Mus musculus: one gene and its partners. The protein of the gene in region 4 binds, or shares a complex with, the protein of the main gene of each other region. Links are inferred from orthologs where the notes say so. Each region holds a gene or a part of one and is shown on either strand. Other genes may lie near its edges.

The links. The genes of interacting proteins can lie anywhere in the genome.
Region 1: Dpm2 (region 4) and Pigc share a complex: the UniProt entries of both Homo sapiens proteins name them as parts of the glycosylphosphatidylinositol-N-acetylglucosaminyltransferase (GPI-GnT) complex. The link is inferred for Mus musculus from reciprocal best matches to the Homo sapiens genes DPM2 and PIGC.
Region 2: Dpm2 (region 4) and Pigyl share a complex: the UniProt entries of both Homo sapiens proteins name them as parts of the glycosylphosphatidylinositol-N-acetylglucosaminyltransferase (GPI-GnT) complex. The link is inferred for Mus musculus from reciprocal best matches to the Homo sapiens genes DPM2 and PIGY.
Region 3: Dpm2 (region 4) and Dpm3 share a complex: the UniProt entries of both Homo sapiens proteins name them as parts of the dolichol-phosphate mannose (DPM) synthase complex. The link is inferred for Mus musculus from reciprocal best matches to the Homo sapiens genes DPM2 and DPM3.

What each region holds. Positions count from the first base shown.
Region 1 is NC_000067.6:161,967,233-161,972,278, forward strand, and holds the start of Pigc (phosphatidylinositol N-acetylglucosaminyltransferase subunit C), read left to right. Parts: upstream 1-1,955; 5' UTR 1,956-2,047; exon of another isoform or gene 2,048-2,137; intron 2,138-2,994; exon of another isoform or gene 2,995-3,007; 5' UTR 3,008-3,218; coding exon 3,219-4,112; 3' UTR 4,113-5,046. Other genes in the region: 4930558K02Rik (uncharacterized protein C1orf105 homolog), read right to left, coding at 679-764. UniProt on the Homo sapiens protein: Part of the glycosylphosphatidylinositol-N-acetylglucosaminyltransferase (GPI-GnT) complex that catalyzes the transfer of N-acetylglucosamine from UDP-N-acetylglucosamine to phosphatidylinositol and participates in the first step of GPI biosynthesis.
Region 2 is NC_000075.6:22,155,138-22,159,146, reverse strand, and holds Pigyl (phosphatidylinositol N-acetylglucosaminyltransferase subunit Y precursor), read right to left. Parts: upstream 2,302-4,009; 5' UTR 2,234-2,301; intron 1,416-2,233; 5' UTR 1,153-1,415; coding exon 937-1,152; 3' UTR 792-936; downstream 1-791. UniProt on the Homo sapiens protein: Part of the glycosylphosphatidylinositol-N-acetylglucosaminyltransferase (GPI-GnT) complex that catalyzes the transfer of N-acetylglucosamine from UDP-N-acetylglucosamine to phosphatidylinositol and participates in the first step of GPI biosynthesis.
Region 3 is NC_000069.6:89,264,562-89,267,870, forward strand, and holds Dpm3 (dolichol-phosphate mannosyltransferase subunit 3 precursor), read left to right. Parts: upstream 1-1,899; 5' UTR 1,900-2,045; intron 2,046-2,167; 5' UTR 2,168-2,172; coding exon 2,173-2,451; 3' UTR 2,452-2,518; downstream 2,519-3,309. UniProt on the Homo sapiens protein: Stabilizer subunit of the dolichol-phosphate mannose (DPM) synthase complex; tethers catalytic subunit DPM1 to the endoplasmic reticulum.
Region 4 is NC_000068.7:32,569,297-32,574,159, reverse strand, and holds Dpm2 (dolichol phosphate-mannose biosynthesis regulatory protein), read right to left. Parts: upstream 3,303-4,863; 5' UTR 3,251-3,302; coding exon 3,248-3,250; intron 2,955-3,247; coding exon 2,865-2,954; intron 1,864-2,864; coding exon 1,761-1,863; intron 1,202-1,760; coding exon 1,143-1,201; 3' UTR 589-1,142; downstream 1-588. UniProt on the Homo sapiens protein: Regulates the biosynthesis of dolichol phosphate-mannose. Regulatory subunit of the dolichol-phosphate mannose (DPM) synthase complex; essential for the ER localization and stable expression of DPM1.

The DNA of each region.
Region 1 (5,046 bases), on a different chromosome or scaffold from region 4:
CTCTCTAGCAACCATTTCCAGTCTAAGACAAGCCTATGGAACTGCCTCTGCACCGTCCTTGCTCATCCCCGATTCCTTATTTCCCGCCATCATCTCACAACCTACATTTCTCTCAGAGATTTATCACCACACCCAGGGACAACTTAACTGTAAGGGGCGGGGAGGTGTTGAATGAAGAACTTAATTATTTTAAGTAGAAGCTGAAATGCCCCATACATATAAATCCTCAGTTTTCAAAATCAGAAATGTGTTATCTATTGGCTTTGTGAGGGCATGAGCGACCCATGAAACTGGAGGAGGCCCCACGTGAAATACAGCTATTGCTACTCTATAAAGATGGCGTGTTATAGTTCTAGGTTATTGATAATTAGAATTCGAAGACTAGAAATTGAAGCGGGGTGGGGGGAAACTATGGAAGTGTTTTGAGTTACAGTGTCTGTGGTTGAATAGTACACGCAGAAATGAAGGTTATGGCGGCTCTCATTTCTTCTAGCCAGGCCTTTACATAGCATAACCTTTGTCTGAGAAACCCAGGGCGTTTCTTTCTTTTTTCTTTTTCTTTTTCTTTTTTTTGCATTCGACTTGGTTTCTCAACAGGGCACATGCACCTCTCCACCTTAAGAGTACAACCACTGAGCTCTGCCTCGAAGGCTCTGTCCTCAGAAGCTGGGAAGTTACCTTCTGGGGATGCTCAGGATCAATGGTTTGTTTACCAGGCTGGCCTCACTCAGCCAAGGAATCTTGTCAAACTTTGGAACAAAAGCCTACAGAGAGAGAAATGGAAAGAGATCAGGTTGCAGAGTTTATCACACTTCCGAAGACTAAATCTTAAAGGGAGTCACAGGGCCAGAGAGATGCCTTGGTGGCTAACAGCACTCCTTCCTCTTGGAGAAAAGCCAGGTTTAGTTGACAGCACCCACAAGCCAGCTCATGACTGCCTGTAACTATAGCGGCAGGGGACCTAGCACCTTCTTCTGACCTCCACAGACACCTGGAGTCAGGAGCACATATGTAGACATAATTAAAAACAAAATATTAAAAAAAAGTTAAAATACTTGACCAGTGCTGGTATTACAATAAGCAAAGTAAGCTAACAGCAACCACACAGCAATCAATACATTGCAAACTATTTTAACACGAGAGTCCTCCAACCATTCCATAAGGTGGCCAAGAACAAATAAGCGCCTTCTTTCTTTTACAGACAAAGAATTCAAAGCCCAGATAGTGTGAATATGAATAAATGGGTTCATGCTTTCTGCCTCTGTGTCCACACTATTTAACAGTCTCTATATTTTAAATTCTTCGAGCTTCCATCTATTTATAAATCCTGTGACACTTCCAAGACCCCAGTTGAAAATCAGCAATCTCTCGTCCCAAAGGCTCTCCACCCTCATCTCTTTTAGGTGGCAAAGTCTAGGAAAGGATCCAGCTTTGGAGCCATCCACATTTGGATATTTCTGATCTACTTGCAATTACTAACCAGCTGCCTGACTTTGGTCAAAAACAAACTAATGATCGCATCGTCTCTGTGCAAGTCAACGCACAGGATGCTATGTGAGATCTGGGATCTCCCCGACTCCCCCCCCCTTTTTTTTTTTTTTTTTTTTTTTTTTTTTTTTTTTTGGTGAATACCAGAAGCCTGGTTTGGCACCTATAGGAGGAGGGTTTGGATGCATGGAAAGTCCCTTGGCTGAGAGCCTGTCAACACATGTCATGGTAACCTTGCAGTTACCAGTCTTCCACCAGCCCCGCGACTCTTCCTGCCTTCTCCTGCCTTCCACACCCTGTGAAGTAATTCCCACTGAGGGATTTGCTTCCCAGGCTTAGCATTCCACTAGGAGCAGATTGCCAGGAGAGGAGCAATCAGTAGAGGGCAGCAGTGACCTCGCGGTGTGGAGTCTCGGGGCGGGACGCTTTGGCCGCCGAGTGCTGCGGATCCGGAAGTGCTCCTCCACAGTAGTCCCCTTCCAAGCCGGCGTCCCGGATGTAGAAGTAGCTAGGCGGCCGCTCTTCTCGGTCGTGCACCCCCCTAAAGAGCTTGGTGCAGGTGGGTTCCGGCGTCCTTCGCTGTGAGCGCTTCCGGCTGATCCAAGGCTGGGGCGGGGGTCGGCAGCGGCGGGCGGGGCAGGCCGGTTGGGTGAGTGGTAGCCCAAGACCCTTCGCCGCCCGGTGACGGGGACCTTTCAAATCCCGAGGTCCCAGTGCGTGAGGGCCGACTCCAGGGTGTACGGCTTTTAAAGCAAAGGTCTATCCTAGCCTCCACGAAAAATACAGACGGTCCGGCAGGAAGTTCTTTCTCGAATTTGCTGAATGACCTCTGTGTTTACGACTGGGATGATTGTTTTCTTGATCCTGCGCTAGAGTTTTGCTGTTTCAGTTAATTAGGATGATATAGCACTTTAAAGGATAGTAAGTTCAGCTAATGAACAAAAAAGATTTGAGTTCTTGGTTTGGGCTAAAACTATAGAGAGATCATGCCCTTTTGTACGGTGCAGGTTATTGTCATTCGACCGATAACTTATTCAGATACCTTTGGGGACCTAGTAACGGCTATGGATGGATTCTGTCCCTATAAATTTGCGTAAGTTGCAAATATAATCATGCAAAAATAGTATAAACCTTAGAGTGTATGAATGCCCAAGTTAAGACTGGCTTAGAGAAGGACGACCAGAAGCAGAGACTTTGACACTAGACTTTTGTAGGAGGTCTGGCTCCACGCTGTTAGCCTGGGACCTAAATACTCTACTGTTTTGAAACTCAGATGTCTTATTAGGTAAACTCATAACTGGTATTAACTTGTAAGGCTGTGACAGTTAAAGAAGGTGCATAAGACATTTAACATTCTGAGTTAGATGCAGATATCAATTATTAAGACTACACTTTAAAATGTGAAGGCTTAATGCCGCATTATGTCACCAGACACAATTTATCTAGGCTTTCAGTAAGCCAAGTTGTTTTTTATTGTATCTGATGCCAGCTTCCATATATTTACAGTTCTCTCTTCTAGGAATTTAGCTGTGTTGTCCTGACCCTCAGGACAAACTCATCTAATGCAGGCTCAGCTTGTACTGAAGGCTTTGTAAACAAGGAAAGTTCTGTAGGGTATCAGCATGGCATTTCCAGAGAGTTCTTAATCTACAGATTTATCAAGAACCAGAACCCCATGGACGTCCCTGAGGGAGATTGAGCCAACCTGGATTTGAGGAAAGAATGAGATAATGTGTGCTCAACGTGTAACAGACACCCCAGAAGTCAAGTGGCAGAAGGTTTTATATGAGCGGCAGCCGTTCCCTGATAACTATGTTGACCAGAGGTTCCTGGAAGAACTCCGGAAAAACATCTATGCCCGGAAGTACCAGTACTGGGCTGTGGTATTTGAGTCCAGTGTGGTGATACAGCAGCTGTGCAGTGTCTGTGTTTTTGTAGTGATCTGGTGGTACATGGATGAGGGTCTTCTGGCTCCCCAGTGGCTTTTTGGGACCGGACTGGCATCTTCCTTGGTTGGGTATGTTTTATTCGATCTTATCGATGGAGGTGATGGACGGAAGAAGAGTGGGCGGACCCGGTGGGCCGACCTGAAGAGTACTCTGGTCTTTATCACTTTCACTTACGGTTTTTCACCTGTGCTAAAGACCCTGACGGAGTCTGTCAGTACAGACACTATCTACGCCATGGCAGTCTTTATGCTGTTAGGCCATCTCATCTTCTTTGATTACGGTGCCAATGCTGCTATTGTATCCAGCACCCTGTCCTTGAACATGGCCATCTTTGCTTCTGTTTGCCTGGCCTCACGCCTCCCCCGGTCACTCCACGCCTTCATTATGGTGACGTTTGCTATCCAGATCTTTGCACTGTGGCCCATGTTACAGAAGAAACTGAAGGCGTACACCCCGCGAAGCTATGTAGGGGTCACTTTGCTTTTTGCCTTTTCTGCCTTTGGAGGTCTTCTGTCCATTAGTGCTGTGGGAGCCATACTCTTTGCTCTCCTGCTGTTTTCCATCTCCTGTCTCTGCCCTTACTACCTCATTCATCTGCAGCTTTTTAAGGAAAATATTCACGGGCCTTGGGATGAAGCTGAAATCAAGGAAGACTTGTCTAGGTTCCTTAGCTAATCTAGGGACCTTCATTTCATTATTAAGACCAGCGGAAAGACTTCGAGCCTAACCGGTGCAACATTTAAAGGCAGGGGTCCACTCTTGAAGCAGCCGACTGATCTAGATGGTAGAGCTGAGATCAGAAGAAAGCATTTAACCAAGGGCTTAGGGGAGGGTGCTTGTCCTTCAGTTATTTTGTGACTGAAAAAGCTTTCTGGTGCTGTTATGAATTATTGTCCTTTATTCCCTGTAACAAATGATGTAATGTGGGTTCTGCTTATTAAAAAAGTAATATCCATTGCATTGTCTAGTATTTTAAAAAAAACAAAACAAGGAAACCCTTATTTATGTGTGTATAAGAGAGGGGGTTTGTCTATTTCCAGTATGTATGTCCCACGCATCAAATTCAGGCCCTGGCAACAGGCCTTTACCAGCTGAGCCATCACACTGGCCCTGTCTCATTTTTATGAGAGCATAAGACAAAAGTAGTATGAAGGTGTGTGTGTGTGTGTAAAAGTGTAATCAGTTGTTTAGCCTTTTCTGTGTATACTAAGGGACACCTTTATATATCTAGAGCCCAAATTTGAGAATCCCTGATGGTGGCATCCAGTTTGTTGTCCAATACCACAGAAGTGGTCACTCAAGGAGAGCTACATGCCATAGAAACAAAACGTTAGCGATATGAAAGAGGCTGGAGGGTGAGTTCATCTCAGGCAGTTAGGAAACCAGAGGTGACATTTAATTTACTCGTGGAGGATAGCAGGTGAAAGCCTTTGAGAAACAGATAGGTAATACTAGTGAGAATGGAAAACTATGGACCAAGCAAGTGTGCCCAGTGAGGGCAGCTGTTACCGCTCCAAAAGTGTTGTTTCTACTCAGTTTGGGAGTCATACCTGTGGCTCAGAGAAAGTAAATATTGCAGTAACTGTGATTCTGATTCGTAATATGAATA
Region 2 (4,009 bases), on a different chromosome or scaffold from region 4:
ACAGGTCTGCAGGTGCCCAGAATGAGGTCTGATCCTCTGGAACTGGAGTTACAGGCAGTCGTGAGTCACCAACCTGGGGACTAAGAGCAGCTGGTCCAAGGAACTGCTGAGCCATCTGCCCAGCCGCAGACCCAGGCTTGGTATGTCCAGCTTCCAGATATTGGTTTTTATATATGGCACTACTCCACTCAGCTCCTCTGGGAGGAGTCAAACCTAACACTTCACCATTGACCTTGAAGCGGAAACAAAATCCCAAATTATTTTTGACAGTCTCACTATGCTGGCCTGGACCCTCAAGAGATCCACCTCTGCCTCCCAAGTGTGTGTGTCACCACTGCCTGGCTTCCAAACAACTAACTTTTAAATGAATGGGCTAAAAAAAAGACAGTCCTTAGGGCCTGGGTGCTTGGTTGGCAGAGTGCTGGCTTGGCGTTCCTGAAACCCTGGGTTCCTCCAGCACCACATGAATGGATGTGGAGCTCTTGCCTATAAGTTTAGCACTCAGGAGGTAGAGACAGGAAGGTAAGGAGGACAAGGTCTGCCTCTCACAGCTTGAGGTTCCCCAGAACTAAATGAGAAGGCAATAGGCGGGCAGAGAGATGGCTCAGGGGCTAAGAACATGAACTCGCATCCTTTATGGATGATCTGAACACAGCTCCGGTAGCCTACAACTGCCTGTACCCCCAACTCCAGGGACCCATCACTTGCATGGCCTCCTTGGGCACCCACACTCACATGCGCATACCCACACACAGACACACAATTAAGAACAAATCTTAGAAGAAACAGTCTTTGGATGAAGGCTGGTCGTGTTCCTCTCCCATAAGACATTTTATTGAAAAGTATTTTTCAGCTACAAAAGAATCTGCAACAGCCAGGAACCTCCGGCCATGCCCCACTCCGCAGGCAGCCCGAGCAGGAGGGGCCTCGGCTCCCCTAGTTATGTCTGAAGAGCTTCAGGCCCATCCATGTCCACAGATGGAAGAACACGTACACAGGCACGGTGACCGGCAAGAGCAAGCTGTAGAAGCACAGGCTGCTGGCGCTGGTGCAGCCCTCTGGGAAGCCTTCCTCCACGGAGGCGGAGTAGAGCAGGCCTGCCAGCGAGACCAGTGGGATGAGGACGGTCATGGTGGGCAGGGACCGGATCATCTTCCTCCCTTCTTAAAAGGTTAACTGTCTCAAGAAAACTCAGTTGTTTGAAAAGTTCTGTTCTCGTGCGGGTGCGCTCTTGTCTTATCTTCCCCTTGTCCCGACTCCTCATTCACCCAGGCATGCTTCCCAAGGGCACGCAGAAAGTCCAGGGGTCCCAGGCCGAAGGTGCCGGCTCCTCAGCCTCCGCGTCACACGCAGCGGTTACCAGCGACTGCAGACACCACCTGTGTCCCTCGCAGCGCAGGCGAGAGGTCTTTTAACTGTATGAGAAAAATGCAAGATGACAAGATGAAGGGCAGGCGACGGGAAGGGAGAGGAAAGGATGGGGAAGCAGCCAGTACCAGCACTGAGTAGGTTAGAGACAGGATTGCTGGAACCGGCAGGCTGGCCTCGAACGTTGTGATCCTCCTGCATCAGCCTCCCCAAGCCACCACATCCGGCTAGAAAGAAGCCTTTAAAAAAAGGAGTGTCCTCCAAAACTGCCTATAGTGACCCCCATCAGAGGTATCAGTATTGAGGAGGCAGTGACAAAAGAACGGCTGCCAGACCATGCTTAAAACACTACAAGTGTCATGAATTACTTTGGGAAGTAAGCAATTTGAAAAACAGAATGAAGGACAGGTGGACTGATAATGTTTTTGTGAACTGGGGAAGCGGAATGCGACCTACAAATCCGGGTTCGCTTCAGACATCTGAGTGAGGCTTTCTATACGAGGACTGGCTGGGAACCAGCACCAGAACCTGGGGCCAGGTCACGAGCCACCCGCGGTCAATGCACAGACCGAAGACAGCGCCATCCCTTGGGCGCAGTCGCCTCGGGGACCAGAAGGGGCAACGAGCCCGCTGCAGTCTCTGACCGACGGAGGGACAGAGCCGAGCCGAGCCGAGCCGAGCCGAAGAAAACCGAGCCGAGCCGAGCGGGGCAAGACAGGACAGGGGGAACCCGGCCGAACCGAAAACGAACCAGCCAGACAAACGGAGTCGGCGGCGTCCATGGCGCAGACGCCAAGCTGGCGCGAGTCCCGCCCCAGCCGGTTTCAACAGCTCCTCCGCTCGTATTTCGAGACCCTCAACTCACCGTTTGCAGGCCTGTAGGAGTCCGGTCCCTTCGGCGCCTGGCGGTGACAGTCACCGCCCCACGAAGGCGGGACAGCCCGGCCAGCCGCCCAATCAAATCCCTGCAGGGGCGGGGTGAGGAACCCAGATCCCGCGATGGAGCCGGTCCGCGCGTGCTCATTGGACAGTTCACCTTGCCTTCGCTCCCAGGCTCAGGCTCCGCCCCCGTGGTCTTGATTGACGGGTGAGGCCAGAAAGACTCTGAGAGCACCGGATAGCTAAGGATCCCATCGTCTCTGGCTGGGCGTCCCCTATGCTAGTCCTGCTGGAAGTAGGAGAGGAACGTATTTGCCACAGTTTATTCATGGCGCTCCAGAGCAGACAGTGGGGTCTTTCTGCACTGAAAAGCCTTCCCCACTTTTTTTTTTTGGTTTTTCGAGACAGCCCTGGCTGTCCTGGAACTCACTCTGTAGAACAGGCTGGCCTCGAACTCAGAAATCCACTTGCCTCTGCCTCTGCTGGGGTTAAAGGCGTGCACCACCATGCCCGGCTGCCTTCCCCACTTCTAATTGATAAACTTGAATCCTGAATCGCACCTGGCCTCAGCCACTATCATCTATCCTCTTAAGCAGCGGAAAGATGACTGATACATTATTTTACGTATGAATCGGTAAATGGCAAAATAATAGTTTGTGCTGATGAGATGGCTCAGCGAGTATAGGCGTTTCCTGCCAGGTCAGACTACCTGAGATCGACCTTCCGGTACCCACATGGTGGAGAACTATTTTCCTCTGACCTCCACACATGTATTGTGGCACACCTGAGTGTACTCCCGCAAAAAGTGCAAAATGAAGTTTTAAGAGAAAATGTAGCCAAGCACACTCCTAATCCTAGCACTCCTTAGGCAAAAGCTAGCGGATTTCTGTGAGTTCGAGACCAGCCTGGTCTACATAGCAAGTTCCAGGTCATCCGGACTACATAGTAAGACGATGAGTGTGTGTGCCTTGGGGTTGGGGGGAGGGACGGTGTTCGTAAATGCTGTCCACGGGGCCGGCCACTGCCTTGCCTAGTGAGGCAGTGTTATCTCTGATCCCAGCGTAAAGAAAAATGAGGCTGAGCTAGGATTCTGCACAGTACTGCACAGGAAGCTCCATCCCTTAATCTTCCCGCAAGCTAAAAGATCAGAAAGTTTTTCTTCTCAGAGGTAAGTAGTGGTATAGAGTCCGTGCAGCTTCTGTTGCAACCACAAGGTGGCAGGAGAGAGCTGAGGACAAACCATCCTATGGTTTACACAGAGCAAGTAACAAACATTTTTTAATTTAAAAATTTAAAATCGGAACAAAAAATAGCCAGCAAGATAGTTCAAGAGGTAAAGGCACTCACTACACACGCCTGTGAAAAGGCCAGTATTGGCGCAAGATACCCAAGACCAAGTTCTTAGCGTAGAGGGGTTTTGCCCCAAAGTTCAAAGGGCAGGGAATAAGAGCCAAAGACAGGAGATAGAGGATGAGGGAGAAGGGGGGTGGGGGGGGTCACAACAGACAGGATGATGACAGCACAGCAAAGGACTGCCTCTGGGTAGAGGGGAGAAAGACGTGGTGCACAGGGAAATGGCGGTTTAAAAAGGTAAAGAGGAAACCCCGTGTTAGGACAAGGTGTTTTTTGTTTTGTTTTTTCAAAGGTTTACTTTTTGCGGGGCAGTGGTGGTACGCGCCTTTAATCCCAGCACTTGGGAGGCAGAGGCAGGCGGATTTTGAGTTCAAGGCCAGCCTGGTCTACAGAGTGAGTTCCAGGATAC
Region 3 (3,309 bases), on a different chromosome or scaffold from region 4:
GGAGGATCTCTGTGAGTTTCAGGCTAGCCTAGGCTACAGAACAAGAGGTCCAGGACAGCCAGGGCTACACAGAGAAACCCTGTCTCAGGGAAAGGAAAGAAAGGGGAAAAAAGAAAACGGCACATTTTACTCTTGTCTGTTGTCTCAGTAACATGTTTTTTGTTTTTGTTTTATAAATAATAATTGTTGATTAACATTGAAGGCTTTGAGGAAATAAGGGTTTGGTTTGTTTCTCTTTTATTTTACATGGATGGGTGTTTTGCCTGCATGTATGTCTGAGTATGTGTCTGGTGCCTCGGGAAGTCATAAAGTGTTGTCAGACGCTCTGAAACTGGAGTTACAGATGGTTAAGGACATCATGTGGGTGCTGGGAATGGAGCTCAGAGGATCCTCTAGAAGAGCTGCCAGAGCTCTTAACTGCTGAGCCATTTCTCCAGCCCCTCTGGATTCCCTTTTGACATACCAAAGTAAACTAAATTTCCAATCCAGCTACAAAGCTTTGAACAATGGGTCTTTGAACATTTGTTAATTTTTATTTTATGTGCACTGGTGTTTAGCCTGCACGTGAGTCTGTGTGAGGTCTTGGAGTTACAGTCTACTTCTGTCCCCGCTTTGTGATTTCCAAGTGGACCCTCAATCCACTCAGACTAGATTTTTTTCCCTTTAAATCAGGGCCTTCCTTATGTAGTTCATGTTGGCCTTGAACTTGGAGCAGCCCTGCCTCCTGAGCCTTGGGATCATGTGGATGTCCTCAGGACTTTTTCACTCCTCATTTACTCGTTTTTCCAACAACAGAATTGCTTTAAGGAAGGTTTGGTAACACACACATTTAATTCTAGCACTGGGAAAGCAGAGGCAGGAGTAACAAGGGTTCAGGGCCATCCTCAGCTACATCCCATGCTCTAGGCCAGCCTGGAATACATTACATTAGACTCTGTCTCAAAACAAAACGAATACCAACCAGGCTGGAAACAGCTCAGCTGTTAAGTGTGCTTGCTGCTCTTCCAGAGGACCTGAGTTTGGTTCCTAGCTCCAGTGTCAGACAGCTCACAACTACCTGTAACTCCAGCTTTTCTGGCTTCTGCAGGCACCTAAATGTATCCAGTATACGCTCAGATAGACACACATATGCACACATAAATAAAGATTTAAAACCCAAACAAACCAAAAATCAAGCCAAAGAAAACCCCCTTGTTTTATTTAAACTGTTATTGCTACCTAAAGGCAACCAACCCCTTTTTATTAAAAAAAAATTTTTTTTTTATTTTATGCACATTGATGTTTCACCTGCGTGTATGTCTGTGTGAGGGTGTCAGATTCTCTGGAACTGGAGTTACAGGCAGCTGTGAGCTGTCATGTGGGTGCTGAGAATTGAACTAGGATCTTCTGATAGAGCAGCCAGTGCTCTTAACTGCTGAGCCACCTCTCCATCCCCTAGCAACCAACCCTTTATCATATCCTGTAATGGTCATGGTCTTCTTTCTTCTTCTGTTGAATTGCCCTGGAATCACAGGTATATGGGCCTGTGATTTGCAGTTCAATTTGACATGACCAGCCTATTTCTTCAAGACAGGATCTCAGACTGGAGTTCAAGTTTATTCCGGGTACTCTGTAAAATCCTGTTTCAAAATATAAAAGGGCTCAGTGGTTGAGAACTTGCCTAGCAGGTGTGAGGCGGCCTGTTCATGTTTGCTGATTGATGGGTGTGTTGGAAGAATGCTTGAATAATTGAATGAGTGGGCTTTCTGCACTGGAGAATCTAGTTTAAGGGGGGCGATGTAACATTCCCATCTTAACGCAGCGTTTCGGGGTATCCTCCGATTGTCCACAAGTTCCAGCCGGTATCGATGTGGGTCTCCAGAACAAAACGGCAAAAACTCTTCTGAACTCAGATTTTCGAAGAGCAGTGTATAACCAACCTGGATCTGAGCGCGGCCGAAATTGTCCTAAGAACTACAGTTCCCAGAAGGCAGCCCGGAAAAAGGGCGGTAGTAGAAAGGGACTTCCGGATGCTGATGCGGGCCTTGTCAGCGCGGCACACGGAGGTACGCTTAGGTGGCGGGCAGAGTGGAAAGACGGAAATGGGTGGCGGAGACTGGGAATAAATGTCAGATGCAGAGCGGGGATCGGTAGAAAGAACCCTTAGCTTTGATTTTTCTCCCTGCAGCCAACATGACGAAGTTAACACAGTGGCTTTGGGGACTGGCTCTCCTGGGCTCTGCCTGGGCTGCCCTGACCATGGGAGCACTGGGCTTGGAGTTGCCTTTCCCCTGCCGAGAGGTCCTGTGGCCACTGCCTGCCTACCTGTTGGTCTCCGCTGGCTGCTATGCCCTGGGCACGGTGGGCTATCGCGTAGCTACATTTCACGACTGCGAGGACGCTGCCCGAGAGCTGCAGAGCCAGATCGTGGAGGCCCGAGCTGATTTAGCACGCAGGGGGCTGCGCTTCTGACACCTAAACCCATTCCAGTCTGGACATCTTTCCTCATTCCGCATTAAAATGCAGTTTTATTTTCTAATCTTGTGTAGTTTTGAGTATGGAGGATAGCGGTGGGGTGGGGGGTGGGATGGGGATTCTATATACTAGAGGTCAAGAGGTGAGGGGGCAGGAGAACCACCTTACCAGGCCTTACTTAGCTTTGCATTTTGATGGTGTTCTGTTCCCTTCTCAAGATTTTTTTTCTGTTTGAAATAGGATGCCATGTACCCTAGACTGGCCTTGACCCCAGCCATATGGCTGTGGATTATCTCGATTCTAACGTCTCTAATTACAGGCTAAACCCACCATGACTAGACTAGTTTATGTCATGCTGGGCTTCAAACTTGGAAGTCCACAACTGAACTATATCCCCAAAACAGGTTTGTTTACTTGTGTATATGGTTTTAATATATATGGTTTTAATAAGTAGTTCAACCTGGCTTACAACCAACCCTGTCGTGCTACCCAGGCTGCCCTCAACCTGTGGTCCTCCCGCTTCAGCTTCAACCTTGGAAGTGCTGCGAGGCTTCCCATACAAGGCTGCGCAGGAAGCATGGGTCCCTAACTTCCTTCCATTCTTCACAGCTTTCAAGTTGGTTGTTTTTTTGTTTTGTTTGTTTGTTTTTTGAGACAGAGTTTCTCCATGCAGTCCTGACTGTCCTGGAACTCACTCTGTAGACCAGGCTGGCCTCGAACTCAGAAATCCGCCTACCTCTGCCTCCCAAGTGTTGGGATTAAAGGCGTGTGTCACCACTGCCAGGTTTCTTTTCTTTTTAAAAGGACTTCCTGGATCTTTCTAACTTCTAGTTGTTTTTTGTTTTTTAAAGATTT
Region 4 (4,863 bases):
GGGAAGCCATCAGGATGAAGGAACCCAGAGTGGAAGGGAAAGGTCAGCGGGGAGGAAAAGAGAAGGTGGGTGGTTTTGTATCTGAGAAGGGGCTGGAGAGGGCCTGAGAAGTGATACACTTTCAGGCTGTGTGGATGCCAGATAGGGGTAGATATCCAGGGTAAGGGACACAAGCTTAAGCTTCTAGAGAGGCATCCCAGGGGCCTCTTAAATATGAATCGAGGGGCTGGAGCTGGAGATATCTTAGGAAGAGTGCTTGCCTAGCAGGCATAAAGCCCTCATGACATGTGGTATCTTAACCTTGGGGATATAGAGTCAAAAAGATCAGAAGTTCAAGGCCACCCTCAGCTATGTAGTTTAATGTCAGACTGGGCTACACTAGGCCTTAGCAGATGCGCCAGGCTTCTGATTCTCCGCTGTGACATTTCCCGAGTAAGAATCATATCTATCCCAGTTCCAGTTTTACCCTGTGTCTGACATAGGGACATCGCAAATGTACAACCTGAGGTGCCCTCATTGCACAACTCAGTAGCATCTGAGCCTCCTCTAGCCAGTTTCCCCAGAGCAAGGATGGCAGAGAGACAAACACCAACGCAATTAACATTTATTTGTAAGTTTTCCCAAACAGGCCAATTGTGGTCTAGTGTGGCTGCCTGGATGTAACCCTGTGGTTCTGGGGTTTGTCAGTCTTTCCCCAGGGCTTCCTGGGTCCAGAAGTCCTCATGGAGCCTGGGAAGTGTCAGACTCGGAAGAGCTGCCTTGTGACGGGACAGGACTTGTACAGAGAGGCGGGAAGGCCTGCTCAATCCATCAGCACAGTGGGAGGAGCACAGAGGTGAGAGGAGAGAACTCGGTGGAAGGGACAGGGAGCTTTGACTGTGAGATGGACAGGACCAACCAGCAATGTTCAGCCTCTGAGCCTAAGGGAAGTGAGAGGCTTCCCAACCCACCTTTCTCTTGGCTTCTAAAAGGATGACCAAGAGAGAGAGGGCTCCAGGTTGTCAAACTGAGAAGAAAACAGCCCCATGTCCCAAAGAGGGCTGCAGTGCAGCCAGCTTGACCATCTTGTAAGCTGTGACCCTTGGTCCCTTTTCTGGAGGAGATATGGAGAAGGCCCCTACAGCCTCATCCCTGCTGGACCTTCACTGAGCCTTCTTGGTTATCTTCTGGCTCTTCAGCATCACATAGGTGATGAACAATCCTGTAATACACAGAATAGGAGGGACTGGGAGGATTGGAGTGGAAGCTAGGTGGCCAGGCATGCAAGGTCAGGCTCCCAACCAACCCCCCTAGGGGTGCATCTTTGCAGTCATTCACTAGGTCACACAGCCACTGAGGGTCAGTTAACTATCACCAAAATGGTGCAAGGCTAACCACCTGTGCATCATCCGGCCATGTGGTTCCTCAGTCAACCCAAGCACTCTTTTAGGCTCCTGGGCTAGAGCTTAGAATAGCGTAACAGCAAAGACACAGTTCCCAACCCACAGAGCCGTAAGAGATGCCAGGGTGACTTGAGGCAGGAACATTGAAGAGATGAAGATGAAGCTGAGACAGGAAAGAAAGGGGAGCCATGTCCTCATTGCCCCAGGAACCTGAAAACTGGGAACACCACTAGAGGAGCTTCTGCCCGTGGCCTTTAAGGAATAGGAAAGCCCCGGGGAGCATTGGTGACAAGGAGAGTCTAAGCAGATGTACAGCAGGTGCCAGCATGTGGAAGCACGCTGCCTTCCAGACACCCTGCCCCAGATCGGGAGACTTACCCACAAATAGGAGCAGCAGGAGGCCTGCGGCCAACGGGAGGAGGACGGCGTAGGCGCGGGGCAGGAAGTATTTGTGGATGACATGCTGGCTGTCAATGAATGGCTGGCACCAAGGGCAAGAGCTCTGGTGAGTACTGCTCACCTTACTCAGCCCCAAAGGGAAGCCGTCCCACCTCCCCCTGGCAGCACTGGATACTGAGGGCCCACCTTGATAGCATCCCCAAGCGTGGATATGTATCATAACAAGAGACCCACCATATTGTCTCTGTATTGTTGAATACTGCCTGGGCCTTGTGAGTGCTGGAAACCATCCTTTTTGATTTCTGAGGCCCTGGCTGACCTCACCAAGCTGCCCTCCCCCCTTCTTCTGCCTTCTGAGAACTCTAGGTCTTTTAAAGAGGTCTTTATTTTTTGATCATGCATTTGTGCCTGTGAGTCCAGGTGTACTTTCATCCAAGCCCTGGATCTCCAATCTAACTCCTAACACAACTTAAGCAGCAATGGCGTTCCGTTCCAGGGACTTTTGCTGGGTCTCCTGGAGCTGGAGTTACAGATGGTTGTAGCTGGCCATGTGGGTGCTGGAACTTGAACCCCAGTCCTCTGGAGAATCAGCCAGTTCTCTTCATCACCGAAGGTCAGCCCACCTAACTTTCCTCTCTGAAGGATACCAAGTACTGCAAGATGCCCCTTTCCAAGCACAGTGTACTTTAAAACAATAACTAACAAAATTTCCCACATTAAAGAGAGAGGCAGAGAGAGAGAGAGAGAGAGAGAGAGAGAGAGAGAGACTTGAGATGTTAATAAACTCCACCGGCGACTGCTACACCCAGGAACCTGCTGGCTAACCAGGAGGACAAACACAAAATAAAGCCTCACTGTGCGGCAGTTCAGAGGCTGAGAAACAGCCTTCTCCCCGAGTCTTAGCCTCCTCATCTATAAAATGTAGACACCATCTGCAAGCACCATAGTGTAGATTTCGTGAGATTAGAGCTAGCTAAACATCCAGACGCTGGCACACAGACGCTGATTAAGTCGCGTTAGGAAACTGGCTTAGAGATCCAGAGCAAAATGAAGGTGAGCGGGGTGGGGGTGGGGCACACATACCAAGAGAATCACCCAAGTGGTGTAGTAGGTGAAGATGATCAAGCTAACGGCGACAAGGCCAAATCCTACTGCTTGGTCTGTCCCGGTGGCCTGGAGAAAAATAAAGGCTCAGCAGGCGAGATGGCTCGTGTACAAGCACTAACGGAGGGTCGGAGCAGCCGGTTTACACTCCAAACCTCTCATTCATTTAGAACCACGGAGGGCTTACTAGAAGTGGCTCTCGGGTTTAGAAAGCCACGTCAGGCCTCGTGTCACCTGTCTGCAAGCGGTGGAGAGAGCGATCTGGGTTTGGAGAGCCCAACTCCATCTCCCAAGGAGACTCTTACTCAGAGCCCCGACCCCTGGTACCCTCAAATCACACATGTACTCCACCCCAGGCTCACCATCTCTCCAGCGTTCCGCCGGAGCAACAAAATACATCCGGTTCCTGGTTTAGGCCTTTCCGGCTTGTAAATCACGTGACACGCGGAGACTCGTCTGAGCTGACGTGCGGGCACTTTTCCCCGCCCTCCAGTGCATGTCGGGAAATGTAGTTTCTGCAGGGAACTGTAGGGCCGGGAGCTCAGACTTTCAGGTTTTTGTGGCTACATCCCTGTCAGACCCTTCCCAAACAATAATCATTTAAACATTATCCTACAGTCCCAAGCCAGAGTGAGATGTACCCCAGAGTTGGAAGTCCCGGAAAGGGATAGATCATAATGAGTTGGTTGTTGAAGCAGACATCAGAATTCAAAGGCTCTACATTCTGGCCTTGAAACTGTTAATGGAAGAGTCTGTATAGAATGACCACCACTGGCCTGGCCTATGAGAATTTCCACTGGTTGGCTTCCTAGGGAACTTTCTAGGCTTCCCTTCATTGTCCACTGCCAGAGGTTTCAGAATGGCCCTCTTAGAACCAAGGGGCGCTGGGCCAAATTATCTTTCATGCTTTTCTTCTGTTTCTCACCCAGAACACTACTCTCATGGCATATGGGGCTAGCTGCTGTAGATCCATTCTTCTCCAAATGCTACACCATGCAGGTTATCCATTTCTGCAACCAGAGGCAACAGCTCCCTCTTTGTGCCCTGACAGGTATTTTTAACCAGTTTCTTCGATGATTAGGACCAAAAGTGGGGCTTTAAGATCCCCGAATTGATGCTGGGCATGGTGGTGCATTTCTGTAGTCCCAACACTCTGGAGGCATGAGGAGTAGTAGGTCTCCTTAAACCTCATGGCTAAAGGAAACCTTATAAATACCAAATAAAAACGTTTTATTCTTTCCCCAAAACCAGAGTGAGACACCGTCTCAAACAAGAAGAGGTTCAGGAGTAACAGGTGTTCTCCGACCTTTGTCAAGTGCCCATTCATATTCATACAAACATGTGTGGACATATATGTAATATGTATGTGTGTGTTTGTGGTGAGCATTATGACTGGGGTCAGACTGGAGAACACTAACCTACTTTCCCCAGCATGTCATCTTACACATACATGGCTAACTCCTGTTAGCAGCCCCCAAGTCAACACGGTGATGAGAATGAAAAGAAACACCAACAAAAAGCAGTAACAAAAACATCGGCATTTAATTCCACCCCCAAACCAAACATTGACACTAGGCTGATTTCCCCATATGACATAATTTTCTATTATAAGCTGAGACAGATATGAACAGCCCACGGAATGGGGTGCAGTGGTAACCTGGTTAGAAAGGAATAACACAAAAGCAAATTCTCCCCACAGAAGAAGATGGGCCTGCTCATCCTGCCAGACCACGTGGTCAGCTGTAGGGTAACCAGAAAAGAACCCTAAAAATATTGCAGATCTTTTATATCTCTCTAATAGAAACATTAAACTGTCTTACAGGTCCCAAACTGGCATTGCATAGACCAATTCCTTTTCAAAAATACCTCTAATATATCCTCTATCTTTGTATATAGAATTTGAAGTCCAGGTGCTCTGGGCACCCGTGGGGATCACTGAGCGCAGGAGGAAAGGCTCTTAGCCTCTGGCTGCCACCAG